Pelodiscus sinensis: one gene and its partners. The protein of the gene in region 2 purifies or fractionates together with the protein of the main gene of each other region. This does not show direct contact. Links are inferred from orthologs where the notes say so. Each region holds a gene or a part of one and is shown on either strand. Other genes may lie near its edges.

Region 1 (7,332 bases), on a different chromosome or scaffold from region 2:
CCCTGTCCCCCTGGTCTGCAGACCAGGGGGACGGGGAGCAAAGCGGCGGAAGACGCGGGCAGCGGGCAGCCCAGACGCGTCTGGGCTGCCCGCCGCCCGCGTCTTCCGCCGCTTTGCTCTGCTTTGCTCCCGCTCCCCCTGGCAGGGGGACGGGGAGCAAAGCAGAGCACAGCCGCGGAGCACGCGGGCGGCGGACAGCCCAGATGCGTCTGGGCTGACCGCTGCCCGCGTGTTCTGCCACTTTGCTCCCCATCCCCCTGGTCTGCAGACGCAGACCAGGGGGACGGGGAGCAAAACAGAGCAAAGCCCCGGAGCACGCGGGCAGCGGACAGCCCAGATGCGTCTGGGCTGACCGCTGCCCGCGTGTTCTGCCACTTTGCTCCCCATCCCCCTGGTCTGCAGACCAGGGGGACGGGGAGCAAAGCAGAGCAAAGCCGCGGAGCCCGAGGGCAGCAGGACAGCCACGGCGCATCTGGGCTGTCCCGCTGCCCCCGTGCTCCGCGGCTTTGCTACGGACGCCTGTGGTACAGCAGCTGGGGCGCTGCCGGTTGGTCCCGTAGCGCCGCTCTGGGCACTACGGGACCAACCCAGCAGCACCCCAGCTGCTCTGCCCCAGGCGTCCTGATTCAGACACTGCTGGTCAGTTTCAGCAGTGGCTGAATCAGGACACCTGGGGCAGAGCAGCTTGGGTGCTGCTGGGTTGGTCACGCGGCGGCGCTACTGGACCAACCCAGCAGCACCCCAGCTGCTCTGCCCCAGGCGTCCCCAAGTCAGCCGCTGCTGAAACTGACCAGTGGCTGACTACAGGAAGCCCCTGCCCGGGGCTTCCTGGAATCAGCTGCTGGTCAGTTTCAGCAGCGGCTGACTTGGGGATGCCTGGGGTTCTTAAGTTGAATCTGTATGTAAGTCAGAACTGGCGTCCAGATTCAGCCACTGTTGAAACTGATCAGTTTCAGCAGCGGCTGAATCTGGACGCCAGTTCCGACTTACATTCAGATTCAACTTAAGAACAAACCTATAGTCCCTATCTTGTACGTAACCCGGGGACTGCCTGTACTTGTAGTTCTATTTTAATGTAATTTAATAGCTGGAAACCAGGAGAGTAGCACATGGTGACCAGCCAGCTCTTTGTGGACTACAGACATAGGCACCAATCCCAGCCCCCAGATCACCCACTCAAGAAAAAAGTGGGTGTTCCTCCCCTTCCCATCCTCCAAAATCTGTTCAGTGGTGTGTATGAGGTGCTGGGGAGGGGGGTGAGGAGCAGGAGGGGTGCACTCAGAGGAGGGATGGGGCAGGAAGAGCTGGGGACTTGCAGGAAGAGGTGGAGTGGGGGAGGAGGATTGGGGCACAGTGGGGATTGAGCCCACCATGGAAACTGGGGAATTTGGTGCCTCTGATCACAGACTACATTTTGAGACCCTATGGTCTAGAAGTATACGTAGATTAACAGAGACTGGAGTCACAAGGGACTACTATGATAATCTAATCTGACCTCCCACAAAACACAGCTCATAGAATGTCCCCATTAAGTCCTATCTGAACTAGAGCATACCTTCTAGGAAACTATCCAGTCTTAATTTTAAAATGGCTACTGATGGGGTACGTCTACACTGCAACACTATTTTGAAATAACTAGCTCTATTCCAAAATAACTTAGTCTGCATCTACACAGTAGGCAGTAATTTCAAAATAGTGTCAAAATACTGTAAAGCTGGAGGAGGACTTCTTACTCCAACTCCAGTAACCCTCCTTGTAAGAGGAATAAGGGAAATTGGAGGAAGTGTGCTCTATTTTGAAATAAGTGCTGTGTAGATGCTCCCTATTTTGAAATAAATTGCTCAATTTGCATAGCTTATTTCAAATTAAGCCCTGCAGGGTAGATGTACCCATGGAGAAGCCATCACAATCTGTGCTACACTATTCCAGCATTCAAGTCTGAGGGCAGGTCTACACTACTGCTTGTGTTGATATATTTTTATGTTGTTCAGGGGAGTGAAAAAGCCACCCCCAAGAGAGACCAATTACACCAACACAGCACTGTTGGCAAGAAGTGCCCTCCCACCAACACAGCTACTTACTTTTCAAGAAGGTGGGGTAATGATGTCAATGGGAAAGCTCTCTCCTAGTCGCACAGAGCCTATTCACTAAAAATGCTGCTTTGGTGCAGCTGCACCACTATAACGCTTCTAGGGCAGCACAGCCCCAAATTTGGCAAGTTTAAGAGCCAATGGTTGTATAGTTGGTTTCCCTTTGCTTGTTACACTAAAGAGCCTAGTATCAAATATTTGTTCCCCTTCGGGGTGCTTACACTCTGTGGCTTAAATCACCCCTTCACTTTGCCTTTATTAAGGCTAAACAGATGGTGCTCAAGTCAACGAGCGCAATTTGGGATCTTTTTCGACCCTTTGCTCATTTCCACTGACCTGCTCCAAAATTTCTCTGGCAAAATGTCCAGTCTGGAGGCTCTGACTTGGGGCTTTCGAGGGGTCATTTAAAGTCTCTGCCTCTGTGCCCGAGCAGCACCTCTCCGCTAGCTAGTGCTGTGCTCTCCCCCGCAGTGTCGCGATAGGAGGGTAACTGGGGGAGACCCGAAGGGCCGTGACGGGCAAGTCGGACTAGGTCGAAGGGCCCCGCAGGCGGCGGAAGTGCTGTGGCGGCCCCGGGTTAGGCTGCACGAGGCGCTGCACGGGCGAGTCACGCCCGGAACAAATCGCCCCGCCGCGGCGCCACGAACCCGGCCCCTCCGCCGCCCCCGGTCGGAGCTGATCCGCGCGGGGCCGAACCGCGGAGGGAGACGGTCTGGGCGCCGGACAGGTCAGCGACACTTCCCCCCCCGCCCCCCACTCACGTTGGCGCGCTTAGCCGCTTGCATCGCCATGGTGCCGGGCGGGTCGGGGGCCTTCGCCTAGCCGGGAAACAACGGACGCGTCCGTCTCCAACAGGGGGGGCAGGCCCGGATGCTATCCCAGCCTGCACCGCGGGCTCAGCCCGCGCGCAGGAAGTGACGAGTGCTAACCGGATGAGAGGAAACAAACCTGACAGTTGGGGGCGGGAAGTGACGAGGGGAGTCATGTGACTTTGCCGTTTGCGGGGCGATGATAACTGCCTCCTGCAGAGGCCGCTCCCCCAGTGGCGGTGCCGTTAGTTAGAACGGGGGCGGGGCAACCTGCGGGGGCGGGGTCCGCGCGTGTTTCCCGCGTCCACGCGCAGGGAGGCCGATGCGGCCCGGGCAGTTTTTTCCTCCGGGCGTTACGGAAGTGACCCCGCGCAAAGCCAGGCCACGCGAGGGGGGAGCCGCGTGCTCCCTCTGCAGCCGCGCTAAGCGCTGCTAGTTCGCTCGGCACCGCCTGTGCTGGCTCGGCCTGCAAGCGCCCTTAGCAACAGCGCCCTAGCCTGGAGACGTGCGGCCCACTCCTCCTGGCTTCCCCTCACTGCTCCTACCCAGCTCACTAGTGCCCCCCTCCCCATCGTACCCTCCTCCAGTGCTCCTCCCCCCCAACACCTGACCCACTCGTGCCATTCCACCCCATGGTTCCTCCCCAGGGGTGACCCGTGATTATAGGCCGACTCGGCCGTCACCTAGGGCGCCCCCTTCAACGGGGTGCCCGATGATATCACTCCATTGACGGCCGTGCAGCCAGGGGCGTTGATCGCACATTGCACTTAGGGCATGCCAGTTACAAGATCATGCCTAACCATGCCAGTTACAAGATCAAGAACACATATTCCTGTTCATTCAGAAATATAATTTATGCCATCATGTGCCTAAAGTGTCTGTCTGCTATGTACATTGGACAGACGGCTCAGACACTTCGCCAAAGAATCAATGCACACAAAACAGACATAAGACTCTCTCACAGAGAGAAAGCTGTTGCTTGCCATTTCAGCCAGACTGATCATTCCTTTAATAACCTTAAAACATGCATAGTGCTTCAAAGAGACTTTAACTCCAGACTTCAATGAGAAGCTTCAGAATTGTCTTTCATGCTTAAAGTTGACACTTTATGTATGGGTTTAAACAAAGACTCTAATTATCTCACCCATTACAAAGATAGCTTCCCCAATTATCACCCTTATGTCATTACCTCACAGAAACTAACCTTCCCCCCTCACCCTCACTCTATTCTAAAATTTGATTTGTCAATTTCACATGCGTTCATTTTTTTGATTGTATCACTTTGGTATATATGGTTGTGCCGATTTTCTTCCACATATTGATCTGAGGAAGTGGGTTTGGCCCACGAAAGCTCATCACCTAATAAACCATCTTGTTAGTCTTTAAAGTGCTACATAGTTCTGTCTTTTGTTTAATCCATCTTAGGTTTTGTGTAAGTATGATAACCCATCAGTTCTTACCACAGCACTGTTCAAAACAGCATAAAGAACCATACATGCCAGTCTGAGACTAGAGAAATGTGTATCTTACTTCAGTTCACTTCTAACTAACTTCCCAACATTCAACCCTTTCTGAACTGGGTTAGAAGTTTTGTCCTAGCTGCTGTTGTTGATTGACATCAAGGAAACTAAACTCCTCTTGATTTATACACTTCCCTCCCCTCCAGGATTTTCTTCTCAGTGCTGCCGCTTGCTGCCATTACTCTCCACAAAATACATCATTTAATCTATCAATTTTAATGTTATACTCTGCTGGATCTGTATATCCTAAATTGGTACACGCATCATTCTTGTATGTGAACTTAGAAATATGAAGTGTGAGTCTATTTATAGTTTTATATGTGCTAATGAGAGCTGTTTCTAGTGCCCTGGAAGCCTAATGACTAGTGATCAACTCAATGGTTTGTAAAAAGCCTGGCTTGTCCTGTAAGTGCAAAGGCGGTTGGACTAGAAAGACCTGTAACCTTGACACCTGGTACTGGAAATCCATTCTGAACCTGGATTTTTTCCATGGGAAGAGTGGATACCCTGAGGAAAAGTCAATTTAAGAAATGGGAAGCAATTCCCTTTTGTCTACTGCCTGGCACTCCCCAAAAAAGGGCTGGGGACCCAAGTATGAGAAAAAGAATTTGTCATTGACTTGAAGATTATGCCTAAAATAAGAGCATCTCTTTAGGGTAAGAGTGTACGTGCAATAAGTTTCTTGGTGAATTAGAACTAGCTATATCTTTTCATTTAAATGTAGTACCTTACTTTGATCTGGCTGTTTTCACTTGCACCATTTAAATCCTACTCTTTATACTTAATAAACAACTTTTGTTTACTATCTGGCCCAGTGTATATAATTGTTACCTGGAGAGAACAACCACTGTGCTTATCTCTCTTTCATTGATAAAGGGAGCTTACTTGATGGCTACGTCTTCACTGTGAGTTCTTCCGGCAGAAAATGTGCTAATGAGGGACTCATTAGCATAAGTCACAATCTCATTAGCATATTTTCTGCCCTTTCTTTTTGCACAAGGGCTTTTTGCACAAAAAGAAGCAAGTGTGGATGGGGTTTTTTTTGGCACAAACCCCCCCATTTTGCACAAGATCCTTATGCATCCTAAAGCTTCAGAGGGGTAGCCAAGTTAGTCTGTAACAGGAAAAATTAAAACAAACAAACAAATAGTCTAGTAGCAACTTAAAGATTAACAAAACATGTACATAGTATCATGACCTTTCATGGGCACAACCCACTTCTTCAGATGACTGGAGTGTTGGAAGTCCCTCCCTCCGGGACTATCTAAGAGGTAACAGTTTCAGAGTACAGATGGTCAAAGAAGGGAAGAAGCCAAAAGACTCAGGGGTGCCAAGGTACCATTCCCTCTGTCTTGCAGGTATAAATTATTTCATTTTTACATGTACAGGGGCACTGAATACCCTGAGCAGGCATTAGAAGAAATGGAATATTTAATGAAAGGCAACAGTAAAGCTTTTAGAGAAATCAAAAAAGCTTAGAATATTGCAGAATAATGGATATTGTTTTGCTTGCTTAGATGTACTTCATTACAAACTGGTCTTCTAACGCACCAGTCTTCATAAGCTTGATCAATTTTAAGTTGTTTTCAGATTCAGTTTTCCTTATCTCTGAAATATTCCGCTATGGGGGGAAAAACAAAACATTTTCTTTTAAAATATTTACAATAATGGAAATGCTCCAGTTTAAAGACATACAATTGCCACAAGAATCACATTAGCCCTTTTTTGCCCCAGCATGACACTGGGAGCTGATGTTAAGTTACTTGTTTACTATAACCTCCACATCCTTTTCAGAGTTCGTTCTTTCCAGAATACAATACTGGAATGTACTATAATTGAATGAAAGGCATCATAATCTAGCTCACATATTAGCATTTGCATCTGAATACATAAAATATTGGAATACCTATAGTTATTGAGTATTAGCAACTCCAAATATAGCTTCAGTGTGTCATTTGAAATAAACAGAATCTTTATTATATAAGTTTGTGGCCTTAAGAACCCTAAATACTGCTCCTTCAGATCAGCGAACTGCAAAAACTTTAAAGATAATCATATGCAGAAATCTCTCCTGGAATTACATAATGCTACTTTGTTTTCTCTGGAGGAAAAGATTAAACATAATAACAAAAGGGCAGGCCAATCCCCACCCTCGGCCGCCAAATCCCTAAGGGTGTGTCTACACAGCAGGGTTTAATTTGAAATAAGATACACAAAATGAGTGACATCAATTGCATAGCTTATTTCAAAATAGCTTATTTCAAGTTCTGGTACTGTCTATAAGCACTTATTTCAAAATAGAGCATTCTTCCTCTGACTTCTCTTACTCCTTATAAAATGAGGGTTACAGGAGTTGGAGTAAGAAGTCCTCCAGCTTGACAGTATTTTGACATTATATTGAAATAACTTCTAGCTGTGTAGACGCAGACTATGTTATTTCGAAATAATGTTAGTTATTTTGAAATAATGTTGCTGTGTAGACATAGCCTAAGAATCTGACCTAGCAAACACAAGCTAAGTCTACACTGCAATCTCAGATGTGACTATAGCTTGAGGGGACACACCTGGATGTACTAGCTTTAATTTAGCTAGAAGTGAAGCTGTAGCAATTCAGGTTTCAGCACAGAAGTCTGCGAGTAGTTATCCATGGTTCTGGGCAAGTTTGTACAGCCCATCCTGAAGCACACATTGTTGCCACTTGATATATCTACTCCAGCTGCAATCACAGCTATGATTGCAAAACAAGCATACTCTGTGGGCTTGGCTTCATTAAAATATTACAGCATCATAGCTGAGCCACTGTAGTGTTTCAGTGTAGACGTTACCTATGCTGATGGGATTCTGGGAGGGAGTCTCCCATTGGCATTAGTAATCCATATTCTGGAGAAACAGTAGCTAGACTGATAGAAGAAT
Region 2 (7,029 bases):
TAATAAATGTTAATAAAAACCTGCAGACACATTTTAACCCTCAAATGCAATACATGTACAAGGGGTCACTTGGTTTGGGAATCATTCACCTTGCATCAAGTAAAACAGTTTAAATCTTTATTTTGTTCCTGTAATTACCTCTGACTTGTACCCTCACTTACCACTGTCCCAAACTTCCTGATCATGTTTACATTTTTCACTGATCTGAATGTAGGAATGATAAACAAAAAACTACTGAATCTCGGCACACTTGACCAAATCACAAAGCCCAAGCCTTGGTTTTCCTGTCCATAAAATGAGGATAATATTTATTGACGTTATCCAGGATTTAAAAGGATTGGTGCTCATAAAGCACACTGAAAATGAAGCAAACTACAATGGTTCTCCATAACTGTAACATGCTGCATTCTTCCATTAAAACAAATCAATGATCATATGCAGAGCTCGACAATTACGGCAATCTACTCGCCCATGGCGAGTAGATTTTAGCCTGGCACGGCGCTGCAGCACAATCAGCGTATGCGTAGCACGGTCTGCGCATGCGCAGTGCGCCAAACAGGGGCTCGCTGCCACTTGTCAAGCCCTGATCGTATGTAAGTTGCAGAACTGCAATGATACAAGCAAACAGCCAATGCTGAAAGCTTCCACGTGCCACCTACCATATCCTGTTGTTATTCATCAGTAACGTTTTCAGCCTCTTCAGCAGAGGGAACCCATCCAACTTGCGGATCTCATTGTCGGAGAAATCAATGGCATCGAATTGGTCCAAGGTGGCACCCAGGTTCTCAATGACGGGGATTTTGTACCCTGCGGGGAAAGCGTCAGACCAAGGTTAAATAGAGTCGGGGGGGAGGAAAGGGGGCATTGGGGTGGAGTTGGGCCATTCAACAAGGGATGCAGGATTCCCAGGTTAGAAGCAGCATGTGACATCACTGTCTCCCTCATGAATCCAGAGTGAAGCCTCCCTACTTCCCCCACTCTTCCACCCCAGCACAAGCTAGGGATGTCAGCAACTAGTTGAGTATCCAATAAGCAAAAAGCTTATCAGGTAGTCAAGTAGTGATTAGGGATGTTAAATTTAGATTAATTAATTAATTGAATAGTTGATGGGATTTCCATCTACTATTTGATTAGTTTATAAGGGTGCCTTTGCCTTTGAACTGAAGCAAGAGTCCAGTTCAAAAGCGGAAGCCCACCAGGGAGCGCTGGACCAGAGCACTCACCCGCTGGCCCTGCACACACTGCAGCATCTGAGCCATTTCAAAAACAGAATTGCAGCAGAAGTGGTGTGAGCAGAGATTCTACCGTTTCCCGCTGTGCCTCTACCTCACCTGCCCCCCACCCCCCCGCAGAGAATGGTGCTGAGGCAAACTGGCTTCAATTCCCCCCCACTTGCTGCCTCTAGGAGAGGCAGTGGAGGGGGGGGCAGCAAAGTAGGAGCTGGTGTTGGGGGGAGCTGGCTTAAAAGCTGGTTCCTCACAGCACCATCTCTGGGGGGCAGAAACACGGTGGGGAAACAGCACGAGTAGGGACTGAAGGAGTCGCACTCACCCTGGCTCCCACTGCGGCACTTCAGCCTGTGAAATGTAGCAAGAGCCCCATAGCGCCGCAGTGGGAACACAGGGCGAGTGGGGACTGCCTGAGTCCCTATGCACCCAGTGCACCCTGCTGTGTCGTGCCCCGCCTCCCTCCACCCCACTCCACAGCCTCTATGAGAACCAGGGCCGTTCACCTCCAACAGAGGCTGCTGGATTCAGCACCAGGCAGGCCCGAGCAGTCCCAACTTGTGCTGGTCCGATACTGCGCCTCTGCATTTTAAATGGAGCAACAGCCCAGCAGCTCTTGCCACATTTAACACGCAGAGTTGCAGCACAGGTGGCTCCTGGAGCTGGCACGAGCCAGGACTACTCCGTCTCAGCTGCAGCCGGCTCCCGGTGTGATCCCCGCTGCGGCTCTGCACACCCGCCCTATCGACTAATTGTATCGACTAGGCCAGTGGTTCCCAAACTTTTTGGCATCACGCCCCCCTTTTTGATTTTTGAAAAACCCTCACGCACCCCCTCCAAATAGCAGTAAAACTTGTTGAGGGGGGAAAAAAACTGAACAGGGCAGCAAAACTTGACTGGCGGGGGCGGCTGGGTCACTTCGCACGGCCCCCTGGAATTTCTGCACACACCCCCAGTTTGGGAACCCCTGGACTAGGCCATTAGCCAGGTACCCAAGATGTAAAATTGTCAGCACAAAACCCGCCCCGCTACAACTCCCCCCACATACTCCCGCCCCACACCTGACCCACCCCCCACATACTCCCGCCCCACACACTCCCGTCCCCACCCCACACCTGACCCACCCCCCCACATACTCCCGCCCCACACCTGATCCATCCCCCCACATACTCCCGCTCCCGCCCCACACCTGACCCATCCCCCCACATACTCCCGCCCCCCGCCTGACCCACCCCCCCGTGCCTCCGCCCCACACTCCCGCCCCCCACCTGACCCACCCCCCCACATACTCCCGCCCCCGCCCCACACCTGACCCATCCCCCACATACTCCCGCCCCCGCCCCACACCTGACCCACCCCCCCACATACTCCCGCCCCCGCCCCACACCTGACCCATCCCCCCACATACTCCCGCCCCCGCCCCACACCTGACCCACCCCCCACATACTCCCGCCCCCCGCCTGACCCACCCCCCGTGCCCTCGCCCCACACCTGACCCACCCCCCCACCTGACCCACGCTCCCGCCCCCCCACACACACCCGGCCCACCCCACGCTCGGCCGCGACCCGAGGCCCCTCCCCGGCGCGCGGCTCCCGGGCGGGCCTCACCGCGCAGATCCAGCTCGCGGTCGCGCACGGCGTTGGTGTACTGCGCCGCCTGCTCGATCAGCTCCGCCGTGAGCTTCACCATCCTGCCGCGCGCCCCGCACGCGTCCCGCCGGGCCTACAGCGCCGAGCGAGCCGAGCGCCGAGACCCCGAGCGGCACAGGCCGAGCGGCCGAGCGCCGAGCCTCGGAGCGCCGCCTCTTGGCCCCGCCTCCCGGCGCCATAGCGACGGAGGCGGCTTCCCCCGCCCTTCAGCGAGGAGTTCCCCCCCCCCCCCAGACACACCTGCCCTTCCCCCAGCCACAGGGTCAGCTCCCCCCTTCCACTGCCCATACAGCCAGCTCCCCCTGCACTCTGTGGGGCAGGTGCATAGAAGGGCAGTAGTGGGGGCAAAAGATCGATCTGGCTTCAAGATTAAACTAGATATCGGCTACGTCTACACGGGCATGATTTTCCGAAAATGCTTTTAATGGAAAAGTTTTCCGTTAAAAGCATTTTTGGAAAAATCGCGTCTAGATTGGCAGGATGCTTTTCCGCAAAAGCACTCAGACTAGATGATCATAATGGTCCCTTCTGACCTTAAAGTCTATGAGGTGCCCCTCGTAAGGCAGGGACACGGGGCTCTGTGGGGGCCCTGGTCAGTGCAAGGTGCTGCTGTGATTAACAGTAGGCGGAAGGAGACGGGAGCTCTGCTCTCTGATTGTAATTTCAAGTCACACCAGTGAAATGTGAGAGCTGGGGAAACACAAGACAGGACTGTGCAGCACTTTAAAGACTCACAAGATGGTTTATTAGGGGATGAGCTTTCGTGGGCCAGACCCACTTCCTCAGATCAAATTGTGGAAGAAAATTGGCATGACCCTATATACCAAAGGATACAATTAAAAAAAAAGTGAACACATATAAAACTGACGCTTCAGATTTAAGAACAGAGGAGGAGCGAGGGGGGAAGGTTTGCCAAAGAATCAATGCACACAAAACAGACAACAATCAGAGCCACAGGGCCATAGCCATAGCGCTCTGCTAATCATGCTCCCTGCACAGCTCTGCTCTGTATGACTTTCCCTGAAAGCCGTCTGAGCTGGTTCTGTCAATCAGGCTTTCTGCAGAAGTAGTGCCTAGGAGGGCCACCTGTAGGCCTGCATCCTGATTAGATTTCCAGAAGTCTTTTTTGGCCCACCACATTCAATACACAGTCATCTGAACTCCTGAGGATGCATTGTGTATTTTTTTGTCAGGTGTCTTTCCTGTAAATGCAACAATGACCAATTTTACAGATGATCTTTAAAATTGGAGGTGTGGAAAATAGGCCAGTCAAGCGAACCAAACTGCAAACGGAGATGGAGAAATGAGCTCAGTGGGGAATACAGGATAGGAGGCAAGATTTTGTCCTGTTAAGTGTAAAGTTTTGTGCTCACAAAGAGGAAATAACCAGTATAGAGACAGGGGCATCTTACATATAAACTCATGGATATAACCAGGTAGCCACACCTAATCCATAAAAGCTACTTTATTTTCCTTCCTTATTTCCTCCCTCCTAAAATCTCACCTCCCTAAATAGCCTTTATTTTTGTAATGTACATAAGAACGGCCGTACTATGTTAGACAAAAGGTCCGTCCAGCCCAGTTTTCTACAGTGGCCAATGCCAGATGCCCCAGAAGGATTGAACAGAACAGGGTATCATCAAGTGATCCCTCCCCGTCACCCATTCCTAGCCTCTGATAAACAGAGTCTAGGGACACTATTCCTACCCATCCTGGTTAATAGGCATTGATGGACCTATTCCATCAAAAGCAGCCCAAATGATGTCAGCAGAAGCCAAGCTGAGGGAGCATGGGGTACAGATCACAGCTAGAGGATCTCTGCATCTTGGGGTCTTCAAAGTATTTGAAGGCTTCAATATCTGAGATATAGGTGAGAGGATTATTCTAGGAGGGGTGGGTGAGATTTTGTGGCCTGCACTGTGTGGGGGGTCAGACTGGATGATCATAGTGGTCCCTTCTGACCTTGGAGTCTATGAGTCTATGAGTCTATGAGTGGATAGATGAGAGCAGAAGGGACAGGTAGTGCGCAGAGCATTTCATTTTGTCAGTGCTGTCTTTGAAGTCCCAATAATTAGTCAATGAAAGCCCAGAAATTCAAGATTCTTGGTCTTTATTTTCGTGGTAGATTCATTACACTGGGGCTTCTTTCAAATAAGATGAACATTCTGATTAAGGACTAATCCAACATATGGTCCCATCCTAAGGCAGCTAGTGATGCTGTCTTTGTGTGGCTCAGTTAGCACTAGCCAGCCCTGTGCTGCAGAGGCAGGGAGGAAGGAAGAGAGCTAGAAGAAGGAATGAGCCTTGAAGAAACAGCAAATTAAAACATCCAGGAGGGAGGGCTGAAAACCCACAGAATCCATCGGGGGAGTTTCACATCATTGGGGAGGTGTGAAAGCTTTGACTGTGGCTAAATTGCAGACATGGAGCTGAGAAGGTTTGGACTCTCCCAACCAGTTACAGGTTTTGCTGTGTGAACTTGGCTAAGTTATGGGCAACAACATGATGAACAATGGCCATCTGGACTGTGTGGCTTAGTTTTTAGGTGTCCAACCTGAGAGTGGCATGAGGGGTTGAGCAGCTGAACCTCTTGTTGACTTCAGTAGAAGTTGTAGATGATCAGCACTTTGTAAAATTATCCTGAAATACAGGACACAGAGTCTTTGTCTACACTGCAGGGTTTTTGCACAAGAAGCTTTTTGTGGAAGAGATCTTCCGCAAAAACTTCTTGTGCAAAAACACATCCACACCTCAAAAGCACACTGCAAAAGCAATGTGCTTTTGCGCAAGAGAGCATCCACACTGCATGGATGATCTGGCACAAGAAAGCTCTGATTGCCATTAACAGAATGGCCACCAGAGCACCCGTGCTTTTTCTGATAGGCTCTTTTTGCTCAAGAAACCTCTGTGGAGCATCCACACGTGCCTTTTGGCACAAGAGCTGTAGCGCAAAAAGGAGTTATTCCTCATGGGGAGAGGAATAACTCTACCGGCAAAAGCCCTCTCTCCTGTCAATGTACTGTATTGTTTTGCGCAAAAACCTTGTAGTGTAGACATAGGGTACGTCTAGACTACCAGGTTTTGTCGACAGAAGTTTTGTCGACAGTATCTGTTGACAAAACTTCTGTCGACAAAGAGCGTCCAGACACATTGAGTTCTGTCGAAAAAGCAAGCTGCTTTGTCGACAGAACCCTGTAGTCTAGACGCAACCCTACAGGCAATAACACCTTCTGTCGACAGAACTCTGTCGACAGAAGGTGTTATGCCTCGTAAAATGAGGTATACCAGCGTCGACAAAACTGCTGAGTTCTGTCGACGTTATGTCGACAGAACTCATCGGTAGTGTAGACGCTGGTATAGTTTTGTCGACAAAAGTGGACTTTTGTCGACAAAACTCAGTAGTCTAGACACACCCATAGACAGAGCTTTCTTGAGAGCCCGCACAAAACTATAGAGTGAATTCCTCCAGACACTAATCACCAACTTCACCATGTGCATTGCTGTAACAAACATATAGACAGATGTGTATATAAGAATCCAGAAAAACAAACACTCCACTGCATACACTTGGCCCCGATGGGAGAACAAACAGGACATATATTAGTCAGGTTGCCTAATGCTTTATGGATGGTGCTCAGACTTTATAAGTGTGGTGTAAGAACTTTTACCGCATAGAATAACTCCAAAGTGTCTTAAGGTGAGTTCTCCAAAACTGAGTTTCTCAGCCTGCAAAATGAGGATGGGCAAACATTTATCTTATACAGGGAAATGGATTTTGGAATTGTATTTTGGAAAGCAGTGGTGTAGGAAAGGACTTGGGTGTCATGATGGATAACCAATTGACCATGAACTAGTACTGTGATATAGGGATGTAAAATCCTGTTTAATCAGTTAACCACTTAAATGGCCTCCTGCCCATGGTATGGCACAGCAGGCCTGGCCAGGCAGGAGTGGTTCTTCACCTGTGGCACCGTGAGCCTAGCCAAGCTGGAGTGGCTCTTGACCTGCAGTGTGGTGAGCCCAGCCGAGCTGCAGTGGGCCTGGCCATGTTAGAGTGACCCCCACCTGTGGAATGGCACAGCAGGCCTGGCCAGGCTGGAGTAGTCCTTCACCTGTGGCATGGTGGGCCTAGCTGGGCTGGAGTGGCTCTTGA
Region 3 (7,873 bases), on a different chromosome or scaffold from region 2:
TCTCACGCCTGCGTTCTCGATCTCTACTTCTAGATCGTCTGTCTTCTCCACGTTTTGCTCTTTTGTCAGATGGAGATCGACTTCTAGAACGGCTACCAGATCGTCCACGTGATGTGGAGCGCTTCCGATAATGCCTATGTAATTGCACATTTACAATAAAAAAGTAAAGATGTAAAGGAGAACACTTTGCAGATTATAGGTACTGAAATCACATTTAGAACAAAAACCATAAAAAGGAAGGGCAAGGAGGTTTTTTTGTTTTTGTTTTAAGATTACAGAAGTCTTCCCTGGTCTTGCATAACGGAATTAGTACACACACACACATGTCCCCTATTGAGATATTGAAGATAGCTGGATTATTTGCTATATATCATTGAAATAATCCTAATGAGGCTTCACTACAAAAGTCAAGCTTTTTGTGATAGCATCATAATCTCAGGAGGGGTTTACTATTGAGCAACATCAATTTTATGTGCAGGAAAAAGATTAAAACTGCATTTAAAAAAGTCTCAGACAGTCTGCCTCAGTTTATAGCTCAGTTCCACAGAGATACTATCAAACGCCAGTCAAAAGATTGTGTACAAATGTGAGCCTGTGTGGCGTAATGGAAAGGGCACTAGATTGAGAATCAGGAGACTTAAATTTTATTCACAGCTATGTTAGGGTACATCTACACTGTGGAGCTATTTAGGGATACCAGAAGTCTCTCTAAATAGCTACTCTGCATTTATTGAAGGAGCCTGTTATTTCGAAATAGATTTCGAAATAATGGGCGGCTTATTCTGGCATCCCAATGGTTAAGGGGAATTTTGAAATAGCGAGTTATTTTGAAATTTGGCACTGTGTAGACAGCACCAAATTACAAAATACGCTATTTTGAAATAGCATCAAAATAAGCTACGCAATATGCGTAGCACAAATTGCGTAGCTTATTTTGAGCTAAGGGTACTCTGTAGATACACTGTGTCTGCTGTGTCACCTTGAGCAAGTAACTTCTTCACCTCTTTGTCCCTCTCTATTCCCTTCCAACCTCTTCTCAGTTCTGTCTTAGACTGTAAAGTCTCTGGGAAAGAGACTATCTCGGCAGACATTTGTGTAATTTGCAATGGAGCCTGGATCTTAGCTGGAGCAAGTGCTCCCCTCATAAAATAGGGATATAACAGTATAACCATTTAAATGGTTAACCCTCAGTTACTGTAAATGTTTCACAATGGCTCCCAGCCCGCTCCCAGGGAGCCAGCTGCCACCCCTTGCTGCTGGCTCTGTATCATCGCTTGCAGTGTGGAGCAGCATCTGACTCCCTGGGAGCAGGGCTGGGAGATGGTACATGGGAGTAAGGATGTTAAGGACTAGTCCAGTCCACTAGTCAATCCTCCTGCTTGCTGCCTCTATCTGATGGGGGGGGGGGAGGAGGGAGAAGAGAGGAGAGGGTACTTCAAAGTGGCAGCGCCACAAGGAGCCCGGGTAATGCTTATCGGTTAACCATTCAAACAGTTCCACTCGTACACCCCTGCTGGATTCCAGAGTGTGGGTTTGTCTTCACTGAAGAAAAAGAAGGGGGGGGGGGAGGGAGGAAGGTGCGCTCATGACAACATAAGAGCTACTTCTATAAAATCCTAGTAGAGGTACCACAGGTAGTTTTTGTCTTGATAGTATAGCAAGTCAAAATGTCAGATCTATATTCCTTCCGACCTCTGCCATTTGGACTAACCTTCACCAGCTACACCCCCCACTGGGAACATGCTCCACAAAGGCGACATGTCTCCCAGGCAGGGTGAACACTGAAAGACGCAAGTGGACAGGTTGGCTGGAACAGATAGGTACAGGGTGTTGGCATTTCTAGTCCCCAGGAAGGAGATGCCAGGAATGCAGAAGTATTGTGGGAAGTGCTGGCTGCTTAGCCTTGTGAGGAGAGCCTGAGAGGTGCTGACTGGCTTACACTGGCCATGTTTGGGTCCAGTGTCATGCCAGTGGCGAGCAGATTACATCCCGGAAGAGCCGGCGCAGAGCAATCTGCACATGTGCAGAACCGCACAGCTGGCGAGCGGGGTTCACCGCCACTTGGCAAGCCCTGTTCATGCCCATCAGTGTGAAAGAAGATATTTGCATATATATGCCACCACTCTTCAGGTACGGCCCTCAGCATGTGCTGAGAGTATCATTGTGGCCCCCAGGGGCTTCCACAGTTGAATAGCCCTGAGCTACAGCAAAACAAAAACAGCAGTGCCGTGTCTCCATTAGGGTCTCTGCATTTACAGAGATGATGCACTTCAAGGACGTTAAAAATCAGCACAAGCCATTCAGAGACGTTGATGGGTTTGAATCCCAACAGTGTTACCCATCGTTTGGGTGCACGAGCCAGCACTTTGTACCCCTCCTCCCGCCCGTAGGGCTAGAAACCAAGGCAGCCCCGTAGCTTGCTTGTTTGGGGGGGGGGGGGGGGGGGAGGAATATATTTATAAATATATAGCCGGAGTCTGAGGAGCATCTGAGCCGGGAGCGGGAAGCATTAGAAACAGGGGCCTGGGCCGAGCTGGGGCGCCGAACAATCGACACAGCAGCAGGGCGAGCTCGCCACTCGGGCCTCGGCCGGGCCGCAGGCGGAACAGCCGTGCGAGGCCGCCCCGCTGGGAAACGGGCAGGGGTGTGGGGAGGTCTCCGTCGCTACCCCCACAGCCTCGGCAACGGCCGGCTCTGCCCTGCCGCGCGGCCCTCCCTCACGCACCATCCGGAGGGAGCCCGCTCGCCCGCGCCTTCGGGCCTTGCGCCCAGGCGAGCCTCCCCTCAACGCGGCCCCTCCTCCTCCTCCCCACCCCCAGCTCTGACAGCGGCAGGGCCGCTCCCGCCGCCTCACCTGGACTCTCGGCCCATGGCTGCCCCAAGCGCGCGGAGCAGCGGCGGCCTGTGGGATTGAGCGAGACCCAGGAACCGCTACGCAGCTGCCGCCATTACGGGCCCGTAGCGCGGTGACCAAGGCGAGGAGCGCTGCAGAGCGGAGCCGACAGGGGCCGGCCGAGGGCTACAGCGCCCCCTGGCGGCTGGAGGCGGGCAGGGCCCCCTTAAGCCCCGCGCCAGTGAGGGTACGCGGAGCGCTCCTGCACCGGCAAAGCTCCTTCTCGCACCGAGCTGCAGCAGCAGCAGTATCGCTCGCTGCCACGGCGCTCAGACCTCCGACGAGCCCGCGGCCCCGGCCAAAGTCCTTCGCGGAGGCAGCTGGGATTCGGAGCAACAGCTCCAAGCGGGCTCGGGTGTGGGCTGCACCGGTCACGTTTCTCATCGGCAGCCATAGCGCAAACGCCGCTGGTGACTCGCCCCCTTTGCAGCGAGCGGGGAAATGGGAGTGTCTGCTCCGGCTCTGCGCTGCCAGGGGTGGAATGAGAGAGGAGCGTCCTCATCTTCATTCCTCATCCCACAATAATTATCCCTTATAAGTCCCGAGGGCTTAACGTCCAAGAGCACTCGAGCCTAGCACAGGTGGTGTTCCCCTCTCCTACTATGACCTGTGCTAGCGGCCTCCGCGGCTACATCTCTATTACCTTTTACGAAAGCCTGTTCTACCACGGTTTATTCTCGCCCGTGGAGAAAAATGCCAACCCTACGCAACCCCAACAGCATGGCCAGAGAGCTATCCAAACATGGATATTGGACTATTCAAATATGGATATAGCTTTAGTCAACCCTACAATTAAGGGAATATTGAGTTAAAAGGTATAGTGTTGATAAAGTTATTAGAGTGTAGTGTGGGAAAGGAAGCTGTACTTACCTAAAAATAAATGAAAAAGTGTAAACGCCCAGAAGAGCTATCATTTAGAATAGTCTAACTTGGAAAAATGCAATACAATTACAAGTAATCTGAATTCTGTATTCTTAGACTGCACAAATATCACCCCAAAGAGTGAAAGGTAAAAGTAGCCAATTTTTTCAGAATATTTAAAGCTAAAGGGTAAAGCATCTCTCAACATGCTAGAGAATAATTATAGAGCATTTTCACTTGAATAGACTAAAGGGACCCAATTATGACTTCCCTCTCTATTTCTTTGCTATGGTCTGAAACCAAAAAACATTTGCTCTAGATAAAGGACTGAAATTGTATCACACCCATTACTAGCCCAGATTAAAATACCTGTTATTTTGTGCATGTAAATAAAAAATTATATTTTGAACACTATAGGAACTAAAATTAACTCAAAATTAGTTAGCCCAATGAAAACTGCACTTGAAAATTGCCAATTTTTTCCCTCTGCTAGTGCTACTTTTTACAGGTAAAAGTTATAATAACCAAAGTTTTACTATAGTAATAATTATATTATGAGAACTAAAGCAAGGCACTTGATCAGTCCTGTGCATTCACAGTAAGGCTGTAGAGATACAGATTAGAATTTTTATTTATGTATTAAAAGTAATTTTAAATTACTACTGAAGATAAATCTGTTTTACAGAGCAAAATATGAATCTAAACTAACACAGCCAGCCACTTACAGCTGCATGTGATACACCTGGTACAAACATAAAAACCCTTCACATGCAACAGGCCTAAGATATCAATTAACAAAGAAGTGTTTATAAATGCAGAAAGTTTTGAAAAAAAATATTGGAATTAGGAAGATTCACCTCTAAGTACGCAAACATTTATACATTGAGATTATTCAGTCGCATTCAAATTTAGGTTTTGCTCATGCAATCAATTCAGATTACTTTTTAAATAAATTCATATACATGTAATGAACACCAATTTTGTTTACTCGGTAATCTGTGTACTAACCTCATGTACTGTAATCTAACACATGTACATTTATGTACAATTAGCCCCAAACAATACTTAGCATTTACAGAGTTTGCAATCTTTACAGAGTTTATAAATATATTAATCTATACAATATCCTATAAGTAACCATAAGTTTCCCCCTACAAACCATTACTCAGGCAAGTAGTTGATATCTGCTGTGGGCTTATTAATGTAATTGGGATACCTGTACAAACACAGTTTGCAGAGTTGGGTTCTCTTTCTCCCCCCATTCCACAGATGGGAAAACTGAGGCAAGGTCATTCAAATACTCAATGAAAGCAACAGAGGGAGTTAGTATCTGAGCTGGGATTACAGCTAAAGAATTTTTGGCTCTTGTGCTCAAATTAAACAGTTTACTAATGTAGGACTGTGAAATTTAGCTCTTTTTGATTTTCCTTATAGAACTGGGAACTTGTTTAGAATATTAACAAATCATGAGATTAATAAAAAGGATGTCTTCCCAAGCACAGTCAAGCCATAAGAGAAGGCGGTAACAAGCATAACTTTAATGCACTTAACAGAAAACAACCAGTGTAGAAATACGGAAACATTAAACAGAATTGTGTACATGAACACAGAAAATGACATCATGGAAACTGAATTCATCCTTGGCCAATGAATGAAAGAACTTCATCTTATAAACGTTTGCCCTATCAGTTCTACATTTCACTTGGCAGCATTATGGGTATGTCTAGACTGCATCCCTCTGTCGGCAGAGGGATGCAGATTAAGCAGGTCGACATTGCAAATGAAGCAGGGATTTAAATATCCCGTGCCTAATTTGCATAAAAATGGCCACCACGTTTTGCTGACAGCACTTTGTCAGCAAAAAGTGGCAGTCTAAAGGAGGATCTGTCAAAAAAGAAAGCCTTTTTCGACAGATCCTGTAAACCTCCTTGCAGGAGGCATAAGGGATCTGTCGAAAAAGGCTTTCTTTCTAGACAGATCCCCCTCTAGACTGCCACTTTTTGCTGACAAAGTGCTGTCAGCAAAACGTGGTGGCCATTTTTATGCAAATTAGGCACGGGATATTTAAATCCCTGCTTCATTTGCAATGTCCACCTGCTTAATCTGCATCCCTCTGCCAACAGAGGGATGCAGTCTAGACATACCCTATAAGTCGGACAAAAGTCTTCTCTTCTGAGTCAACATTTCCATATTAAGAGTCAGAAGCCATGTCTTCACTACAGGCTGGTTCAATGGGGTTGTGAAGAACACAGCAGGGGTTGATTTACTGTATCTAGTATAGACGCGATAAAATGACCACCAATCACTCTCCTGTTGACTCTGGCATTCCACTTCAATGAGAAGTGAAAGGAGAGGTGACAGGAGAGTGTCTCCAGTAGACACAGCACAGTGAAGACACTGCAATAAGTAGATATAAGTATGTCTACTTCAGCTACACTATTAACGTAGCTAAAATTGTGCAACTTAGATTCATCCCTTGCAGTACTATAGACCAGCCCAGAGCAATATTCCTTCTGCGACCTGTGGAAAAAAAATCCGTCTTAAATCATTTCCAAGTGATAGGAATGCAAAAGAAGTAGAATGAATAAAGAATAATAATCTGTATATCAATATGCTTTTCTAGTATTCTGATTGAACCTTTTAACATGTCTACATTTGTGCCGAGACAAGGTAATCTCTTTTATTGGACCAAATTTTGTTGGTGAAAGAGACAAGCTTTCAAGCTACCCAAAGCCTCTTCCACCAAAAAAGTTGGTCCAATAAAAGATATTCTCTCACCCACTTTGTCTCTCTCTAATATCTTGGGACCAGCATGGCTAAACTAGCATTGCAAACTGCATTTGTACACTCAGATCTAAATTGCAATAGTTTACAGTCTAACTCTAAATGTCTACAACTGGCTGCCCAACAAAAATGATGGTAATCCAAAAGAACTGAATATAGTGTAAAATCAGAACACAAGATTCTTTGTTGTGCCACAGACATATATAACAATTGGCTCAGAAATGCAGAATTAAAATTATAAAGCAAATAATTTTAGCTGAGAAAAACTGGGCAGAAAAAAAGTCTTGTTTACTTCACAGGCATATAGCCAGATAGTTTTGCTTCCTAACTAAAAAATTACTGTAGACAAGCACCAATAAAACTACTGATCCTTCCAAACTGAAAAACCAGTATTGTTGGATTTCATCTTACACCTTGAATAGTAAGCAGATAAGCTACATGGTGAAATTCAGCAGGTTCAAATGCAGCAGAAATCATTGAAGATGGCCAGTACGAAGGGGAGACTAGCTCGTAATACACTTCAGATAATCCATTCCTTCCTCTCAATATGTCTCTTTTTTGTGGGATTGAAAGTAAAACTACAGCTAGCTACTTCTCTCTAAAGAGAGAATAAAATGTATCTGCCTGGCAGCCTCCTAAATCCCTCCTGTCTGGTTTTACACCTGCTCCATAATAGGTATCAGTTCCCCCCCTCACACACTCATCTTTATGTGGAAACAAACTCAAAACATGGAGAGAAGAGCATTTTTTCCATTGTCTGTTTCAGTACTTAAAATCTCAATAAGTACAGCTATTGTGATTTATTTGGAGGGCCTTCAAAACAGTGTAGAACAAAGGAACAAGCAAGTCAGTCAACATCCAAAGGTTCTGGTATGCTGTTATTCTGTTTATAGGCAAATGTCTTCAGTAATAAACAAAAGGATAGAAATACAGAAAAATACATACATAGTCAAAGTTTATGTAAGAAAACAGAAAACAAACATACATAGCCCAGGGTTAATTCATGATTCACCAAAAGAGCACAGACATGTATGATACATTCGGAGCACTGTTTGAGGCATGGGCTTCTTGGGTGCAGCTTTCACTGTATAAAGTGAACTTGTAATCAAGGGTTGAGATGAAAGCATGGGTAAAACTAGGGTTAGGATAACAAGATAGATTCAAGAGCTGCCAAATGGTCAGGGAAACATTGTGAAACTAACAATTTATATTACTTCTAGAAGAATGATATTAGTAAGACAACAGGATTTTTTTTTGCTTACTTGTCTCATTACTGTTTCCTAACTTGAAATAAGTCATGACTATAAGAAGTTATGCAGAAGGGATGAAGACTTC
Region 4 (7,961 bases), on a different chromosome or scaffold from region 2:
CTAAAGCTTTATACTGCAGAGTCGGCAGTGCGTAACTGCCGAGATATTCATGGTTATCTAATTAACTGCTTTTTTGAATTCATCCTTTGCCCCAGGTGCACAGCACCCCCTAGCGGGGGCCAGGTGACAGAGGGATCAATAGTACGCACACACACCGTGGTCAGTGCCCCTCTGGAGAAAACTAGAGCGCTGGGACAAACACTTGGGTGGCTTTAAGACCGACCCGGATCTGTTTATTCATGAGGTATGACATTGCCCGCATTGGCATATCGCCAGCCTACGACTCTCCAATGGCCAGAGCCAGGCCGCTAGATGACTGCACGCCCGGGGCAGCCGCGCCAGGATCGCGCGCCCGGGGCAGAGAATGCTCTCCCAGCGGCTGGCGGGGCGGTTACCCCAGTGTTTCGAAACCAGTGGTATGAGTCCCTTTAGGGCAATGGTTCCCAAACTTTTCGGCATCACCACCCTGTTTTTGATTTTTGAGAAACCCTCCCACTCACCCACCCCGCAGCAGAACTTGAGCGAAAAGAAAAGAAAAGAAAAGAAAAGAAAAGAAAAGAAAAGAAAAGAAAAGAAAAGAAAAGAAAAAGAAAACTGACCTGGCCGAAAAACAAAAATAGCAGCAAAACTTAGGGGGGGGAGGAGTTGATGGGCCCCCCCCACCACGGAATTTCTTCACGCCCCCCAGTTTGGGAAGCCCGGACTTAGGGGGTACTTGAGAGAAGTCTGGGGGTACGTCACCACCGACATTTGGAGAAAACGGAATTCGGGTTTTCAGTTTGACAGCGCTTGATTCGTTTTGCCCTTTTTACACCCAAAAACGTCATCGCCCGCCCGGCGCCGATGACGTTGTTGCAACAAATGTGTTGCAATGGTGGGGGGGAAAAAAGTGTGTCCCCCCTGAAAATGTTTAGTTTTTTTTAAAGGGATACTTTATGGAGAAAGGTTGAGAAACACAGATTTAACCCACGTGCTCAGGAACTCCCAGAGGTCCCAAAAGTGGGGGGCACGTCCCTGTACTGGGGCACAGGGGGAACCTACAGGCCAGGCCAGCACAGAAGGACCGCTTCCCCCCCAACCCCTTCCTGCCCCCCAGATCTGTTCTGGACCCAGATCTGCTGTGTCCCTGGCCCCCCTGGCCTTGGCAGCTCCGCTCCGAGCCCTGCCCAGGCCCGACCTGTGGGTCTGCCCCCCCCCCCTGCGCCTGTGAGAGGGGGGTCTGGATCTGCCCCCCCCGTGCCTGTGGGGGGGGGGTCTGGATCTGCCCCCCCCCCCGTGCCTGTGGGGGGGGGTCTGGATCTGCCCCCCCCGTGCCTGTGAGGGGGGGGGTCTGGATCTGCCCCCCCCCGTGCCTGTGAGGGGGGGGTCTGGATCTGCCCCCCCCCCGTGCCTGTGAGGGGGGGGGTCTGGATCTGCCTCCCCCCGTGCCTGTGAGGGGGGGTCTGGATCTGCCCCCCCCGTGCCTGAGGGGGGTCTGGATCTGCCCCCCCCGTGCCTGAGGGGGGTCTGGATCTGCCCCCCCCGTGCCTGAGGGGGGTCTGGATCTGCCCCCCCGTGCCTGAGGGGGGTCTGGATCTGCCCCCCCCGTGCCTGAGGGGGGTCTGGATCTGCCCCCCCCCCGTGCCTGTGAGGGGGGTCTGGATCTGCCCCCCCCCCGTGCCTGTGAGGGGGGTCTGGATCTGCCCCCCCCCGTGCCTGTGAGGGGGGGTCTGGATCTGCCCCCCCCTGCCTGTGAAGGGGGGGGTCTGGATCTGCCCCCCCCGTGCCTGTGAAGGGGGGGTCTGGATCTGCCCCCCCCGTGCCTGTGAAGGGGGGGTCTGGATCTGCCCCCCCCGGTGCCTGTGAGGGGGGGTCTGGATCTGCCCCCCCCCGTGCCTGTGAAGGGGGGGTCTGGATCTGCCCCCCCCGGTGCCTGTGAGGGGGGGTCTGGATCTGCCCCCCCCGTGCCTGTGAAGGGGGGGGTCTGGATCTGCCCCCCCCGTGCCTGTGAAGGGGGGGTCTGGATCTGCCCCCCCCGTGCCTGTGAAGGGGGGGTCTGGATCTGCCCCCCCCGTGCCTGTGAAGGGGGGGTCTGGATCTGCCCCCCCCGTGCCTGTGAAGGGGGGGTCTGGATCTGCCCCCCCCGTGCCTGTGAAGGGGGGTCTGGATCTGCCCCCCCCGTGCCTGTGAAGGGGGGTCTGGATCTGCCCCCCCCGTGCCTGTGAAGGGGGGGTCTGGATCTGCCCCCCCCGTGCCTGTGAAGGGGGGGTCTGGATCTGCCCCCCCCGGTGCCTGTGAGGGGGGGTCTGGATCTGCCCCCCCCGTGCCTGTGAAGGGGGGGGTCTGGATCTGCCCCCCCCGTGCCTGTGAAGGGGGGGGTCTGGATCTGCCCCCCCCGTGCCTGTGAAGGGGGGGTCTGGATCTGCCCCCCCCGTGCCTGTGAAGGGGGGGTCTGGATCTGCCCCCCCCGTGCCTGTGAAGGGGGGTCTGGATCTGCCCCCCCCGTGCCTGTGAAGGGGGGTCTGGATCTGCCCCCCCCGTGCCTGTGAAGGGGGGTCTGGATCTGCCCCCCCCGTGCCTGTGAAGGGGGGGTCTGGATCTGCCCCCCCCGTGCCTGTGAAGGGGGGGTCTGGATCTGCCCCCCCCGGTGCCTGTGAGGGGGGGTCTGGATCTGCCCCCCCCGGTGCCTGTGAGGGGGGGTCTGGATCTGACGGGCATGCGCGGGGGGGGCAGATCCAGACCCCCCCCCCAGGCGCGGAGGGCGGGGCCGGGCGCGCCGCGCTCGGGTCACCCTCCCAGCATGCACCGCGCCCCGGGGCCTGCCCGCGCGGGGGGGGGGGAGGGTGCGGGCCCGGCCCGGCCGGTACCTGTTTGGGCTCGGGGGGCGCTGGCTGCGCGGGCGGCAGCGCCTGCACCGGCCCGGCCGGCATGGCGCCTCCTCAGCGGCCTGGCCTGGGGCGACGGGAGCGAGCGGCCGGCGGACACCGACCCAAAATGGCGGCCGCTGCGCGCGCTGCCTCGCCCTGCGTAGCGGCTGCGCGCGCAGCCCAGGGGGACTGTTCTACTCCGGGATTAGGGGGGGGTGTCCGCTGGGCGGCGATACCAGTGGGGTGGGGGCAGCCACGCAGAGCCTGCGCGCGCAGCCCAGGGGGACTGTTCTACTCCGGGATTAGGGGGGTGTCCGCTGGGCGGCGATACCAGTGGGGTGGGGGGAGCCACGCAGAGCCTGCGCGCGCAGCCCAGGGGGACTGTTCTACTCCGGGATTATGGGGGTATCCGCTGGGCGGCGATACCAGTGGGGTGGGGGCAGCCACGCAGAGCCTGCGCGCGCAGCCCAGGGGGACTGTTCTACTCCGGGATTAGGGGGGTGTCCGCTGGGCGGCGATACCAGTGGGGTGGGGGCAGCCACGCAGAGCCTGCGCGCGCAGCCCAGGGGGACTGTTCTACTCCGGAACTGGGGGGGTGTCCGCTGGGCGGCGATACCAGTGGGGTGGGGGGGAGCCACGCAGTGGGTGCGCGCGCAGCCCGCCGGGCTTGCCTCACTGTGAGGGAGCCAACTCGGAATATTCCACTGAGAGAACGGGGAGGGGGGGAGCGCTTCTCTCGTGACGCCCTACTGGGGGAAACCAAACCCGTGAAAGACGAGCAGAATAGTTGAGGAGGGGCTGGCCTTCCGTGGGGCAGGCCCACTCGGGGGAGAGGGAGCCGGAAGCGCGGCGAACAGTTTCCGGCGCAGATGGTTCGTTCCGCCCGGTTGCCGTGGTAACGAGGCGCGCGGCCACGGGGGCGCGAAGGATCCGCTCCGAGCCGGGGGGGCGGAGGCTCGGCAGGTGGGTCCCGCCCCAGCGCCCGTATCCCCGGGGTCCCACCCCCGCTCGGGCGGCGCGGCCTGGCTCGGGGCCTCAGCCCCCGCCGGGTGGGCAGTACCATGCGCGGGGGGAGGGGGGGCTGAGGTCGCCATGGTTTCGGGGCGCCGGGAGCGCGCGAGAGGCACGGAGCATGCGCAGTAGCCCTGCTGACGCCGCTGCCCTTCGCTCTGCCCGCGCTTGGCTCCCCCGTCCTCCAGGGGGCGGTGCTGCGCAGGGGAAGAAAATGGACTGTTCCACGCGGGGGGAGGGGGGTGTAAAGCAGCGGAGTGCCCCCCCTTGGATTGGATGGTTCTGTCCGCTGAACAGCTGCCAGCTGAGTTAGCTGCTGTGGGGCCGGGGGAGGCTGGGATCAGAGTGGGGGGCGGGGCTGGGATCTGGGGGGGAGGCTGGGATCAGAGTGGGGGGCGGGGCTGGGATCTGGGGGGGAGGCTGGGATCAGAGTGGGGGGCGGGGCTGGGATCTGGGGGGGAGGCTGGGATCAGAGTGGGGGGCGGAGCTGGGATCTGGGGGGGAGGCTGGGATCAGAGTGGGGGGCGGAGCTGGGATCTGGGGGGGAGGCTGGGATCAGAGTGGGGGGTGGAGCTGGGATCTGGGGGGGAGGCTGGGATCAGAGTGGGGGGTGGAGCTGGGATCTGGGGGGGGAGGCTGGGATCAGAGTGGGGGGCAGGGCTGGGATCTGGGGGGAGGCTGGGATCAGAGTGGGGGGCAGGGCTGGGATCTGGGGGGGAGGCTGGAATCAGAGTGGGGGGCGGAGCTGGGATCTGGGGGGGAGGCTGGGATCAGAGTGGGGGGCGGGGCTGGGATTGGGGGGTAGGCTGGGATCAGTGTGGGGGGTGGGGCTGGGATCGGGGGGGAGGCTGGGATCAGAGTGGGGGGCGGGGCTGGGATTGGGGGGTAGGCTGGGATCAGTGTGGGGGGTGGGGCTGGGATCGGGGGGGGAGGCTGGGATCAGAGTGGGGCGGAGCTGGGATCGGGGTGGGAGGGGAGGCTGGGATCAGAGTGGGGATGGAGCTGGGATCAGGGGCGGGGAGGCCCCATGTCTGGCTGGGCTGGTGCTCGTGCAGCACACGCGTCCCTCGTGCACACGTGTGCCGGGCCAGGGGCACGGCCTGTCGTGCACCCACAGCCGTAAAACACCTGCCCCCCTTTCCCTAGGGGCCCAGCTAGTGAATCTGTCCCCTCCTGCAGATCTGCCCCTCCTGCCCGGTCCGAATGGCGCACCTGCTGGGCGATCCGAACTGCATGGAGAGCTTGAGGAAGGACCTCACCGACCTACAAGGAGCCATCGTCGACGTTTTCTCCCGGGCGGGAGCCGCGCGCTATCCCTCCTGGAAGTTCCCCAATAAAGTGTCCTGCGAGCTGGATCTGGTGGCTTTGCTGGAGCAGTATGACTATGTGGAGAACGACCCTGAATTTACCCAGCATTCCCATGTCGTGCTCCTGGAACTAGTGATTGACAGGTGCGAGGATGAAAGAACTGTTCATGTCCTGGGCTGGGTTCCCTAGGGAGGAGGTGGAGTCTCCGTCCCTAGAGGTGTTTAAGTCCCGGCTTGACCAAGCCCTGGCTGGGTTGATTGAGTTGGGGTTGGTCCTGCTTTGGGCAGGGGGCTGGACTTGATGACCTCCTGAGGCCGGGGTGGCCAACCCATTGAACAAAGAGAGCCGAATCAGCGGCGGAAATAACACGAAGAGCCGCACCAAAATTAAGCCAAAAAAAAAAAAAGTCACTGCCCCTTGAAAAAACACAGACTTAGTCTTTTTAGGACACATCAGGCTGCTTTTGCCGAAAAACTTGCCAGTCTAGACACAGCCCTTGCTAATTAGCATAGCCTGGAGCCTTGCTAATTAGCATAGCCTGGAGCCTTGCTAATTAGCATAGCCTGGAGCCTTGCTAATTAGCATAGCCATTGGCTGAGCATTCCTGGCCACAGAGAATTTTCCAGCATCCCTACAGAGTACATGCTTATAACTCCACATACAGATATCATACAAGTACATGAATAGCACATACAGAATCAGTAGAACAGAAGCTTTCATGAGACACCTCACATGGTTCCCTTTGGGGCAACCTCCCCCCCCACCCAAGGGTGCAGCAGTGATCTGGCTGCTCCCGTTAAAATCCAGTGAGGTGACACGCACTTTAAGGGGGAAAGAGCTGCACGAGGCTCACAAGCCATGGATTGGCCACGCGTGTCTTGAAGGGCTCGTCCAACCCTAGGATTCTACGGTTAAAAGACTGGCCCGGGAACAGCCCCAATTCCAGAAATGCCTGTTGGGAAAACACTACGGCTGCATCTAGACAGGCATGATTTTCCGCAAATGCTTTTCCCGGAAAAGGTTTTCCGTGAAAAGCATTTGCGGAAAAGAGCATCTAGATTGGCACGGACGCTTTTCCGCAAAAGCACTTTTTGTGGAAAAGCGTCCGTGCCAATCTAGACGCGGTTTTGCGCAAGAAAGCCCCGATCGCCATTTTCGCCAGCGGGGCTTTTTTGCGCAAAACAATACCCCATTATCTACACTGGCCCTCTTGCGCAGAAGCATTTGAACATGAGATCGTCAGCGTTCTTGCGGAAATTCAAGCGGCCAGTGTAGACAGCTGGCAAGCTTTTCCGCAAAAGCGGAAAATGTGGAAAAACTTGCCCGTCTAGACGCAGCCTACGGTCGTACAGACCATGTAGCTGCGTCTGGCGTGTTAGAGTCACGTGAATCTGGAACAGTCCCCTACGATCCCCTGGTGGATCACGAACCCCATGGTTGTAGCACCATGGGAACATCCTGAAACTGACCAATATGAAGTCCCTGTGGCAGTGAAATTGATCGGTGTTTGAACTCAGAGGAATGTTGCTCTAGCCCCACAGCTGGGGACATGCACCCATGCCTGTCCAGCCCTGCCTCATTTCTACCCCAAAACAGTCTCATGGGTTCCCAAACTGGGAAACGTGGCCCCCAGAGGGGGGGGGGGCGTGAAGAAATTCCAGTGGAAGGTGAGATGGCCCAGCTCCCCCCCCCATCATTCTCCCTCCAAGAAAGAGCCCAGTCCATCCATCCGCTCGGGCAGACTTCAAAATGGCCGCCTTAAAAGGGCAATGCCTGCTCTACTCTTAAAAAGGTCAATTTTTTTTTTTTAACTCAACAAGTTTTGGTGCTATTCTTGGGGGCACAGGGGAGGGCGTGAGGGTTTCTCAAAACTCAAAAAGGGGGCGTGATGCCGAAAAGTTTGGGAACCACTGGTAGGGTTTGCCCGTCATTCCCCCTCCAAGAAAGAGCCCAGTCCGTCCCTCTGCTTGGGCAGACTTCAAAATGGCCGCCTTAAAAGGGCAATGCCTGCTCTACTCTTAAAAAGGTCTTTCTTTTTTTTTCTTCTTTTTTACTCAACAAGTCTTGGTGCTATTTTTGGAGCGTGGGAAAGGGCGTGAGGGTTTCTCAAAAATCAAAAAGGGGGCGTGATGCTGAAAAGTTTGGGAACCACTGGCAGGATTTACCACTGTTTGGTTTGCCCGACACCAACCCTGGGCCCCCTTAGATGATCCCCTAACTTGCAGGGCAGTCGTGAAAAAGCCCACTGCCGCTCAAAGTCGTGTTGTGTTTCCGCCCCCCAAAAAAGGCTGCTGTTACTGCTGCAGAGCTTCACAGGCTACGTGGAGACTCTCCTCAGCGACCAAGCCGTGCCCCCTTCCCGGGCCGTGGGACCCTGCATGTCTGTTGGGCTGGCGGTGAGGAAGTACTGGAACGGCCTGCTGAAACTGGGAGCGCTTTGTCAGCAACGAGGGACGGAGGTAGGACGTCCCCAAGCACCGCTGGGGGCGGTGCTTCAGGGCAGCGGGGGCGTGTCTATGGCCCGTTGTTTGATCCAGCGCGCAGCACATCTGGAAGCGCCGAACCTTGCGGTGCGTGTTTTTTGGGGGGTTTTTTTTGCCTGTGTGTGGCTCCCCCGTCTGATTTTTTTCAGTGGACCCCGATCAGAAAAATGGTCCCCGCCCCCTTTATATCGGTTCTGCGAAACCAATGAGGGGCCGAACCGTCCGTGATCAGATCACGTTTCGACGCGTGAGCTTCGAGTAAGCTCACCTGAGGGTGTGATGCCGAAAGGCTTGGGACCCACTGGCTACCTTA

Evidence for each region.
Region 1: the proteins of SNRPA1 (region 2) and SF3B6 purify together in Homo sapiens (affinity purification with mass spectrometry; 5 studies listed by BioGRID and IntAct, with this or other methods). This does not show direct contact. The link is inferred for Pelodiscus sinensis from reciprocal best matches to the Homo sapiens genes SNRPA1 and SF3B6.
Region 3: the proteins of SNRPA1 (region 2) and DDX46 purify together in Homo sapiens (affinity purification with mass spectrometry; 3 studies listed by BioGRID and IntAct, counting the BioPlex papers as one, with this or other methods). This does not show direct contact. The link is inferred for Pelodiscus sinensis from reciprocal best matches to the Homo sapiens genes SNRPA1 and DDX46.
Region 4: the proteins of SNRPA1 (region 2) and SF3A1 purify together in Homo sapiens (affinity purification with mass spectrometry; 6 studies listed by BioGRID and IntAct, counting the BioPlex papers as one, with this or other methods). This does not show direct contact. The link is inferred for Pelodiscus sinensis from reciprocal best matches to the Homo sapiens genes SNRPA1 and SF3A1.

Annotation. Positions count from the first base shown.
Region 1 is NC_134713.1:14,462,958-14,470,289, reverse strand, and holds the start of SF3B6 (splicing factor 3B subunit 6), read right to left. Parts: upstream 3,013-7,332; 5' UTR 2,882-3,012; coding exon 2,852-2,881; intron 1-2,851. Other genes in the region: PFN4 (profilin-4), read right to left, coding at 6,012-6,040.
Region 2 is NC_134724.1:7,056,994-7,064,022, reverse strand, and holds the start of SNRPA1 (U2 small nuclear ribonucleoprotein A'), read right to left. Parts: upstream 3,019-7,029; 5' UTR 2,917-3,018; coding exon 2,835-2,916; intron 808-2,834; coding exon 660-807; intron 1-659. UniProt on the Homo sapiens protein: Involved in pre-mRNA splicing as component of the spliceosome. Associated with sn-RNP U2, where it contributes to the binding of stem loop IV of U2 snRNA.
Region 3 is NC_134727.1:28,815,039-28,822,911, reverse strand, and holds the start of DDX46 (putative ATP-dependent RNA helicase DDX46), read right to left. Parts: upstream 3,015-7,873; 5' UTR 2,872-3,014; coding exon 2,855-2,871; intron 135-2,854; coding exon 1-134. UniProt on the Homo sapiens protein: Component of the 17S U2 SnRNP complex of the spliceosome, a large ribonucleoprotein complex that removes introns from transcribed pre-mRNAs.
Region 4 is NW_027465935.1:507,819-515,779, forward strand, and holds the start of SF3A1 (splicing factor 3A subunit 1), read right to left. Parts: upstream 3,007-7,961; 5' UTR 2,910-3,006; coding exon 2,847-2,909; intron 1-2,846. Other genes in the region: CCDC157 (coiled-coil domain-containing protein 157), read left to right, coding at 3,716-3,718, 5,037-5,308, 7,453-7,624. UniProt on the Homo sapiens protein: Component of the 17S U2 SnRNP complex of the spliceosome, a large ribonucleoprotein complex that removes introns from transcribed pre-mRNAs.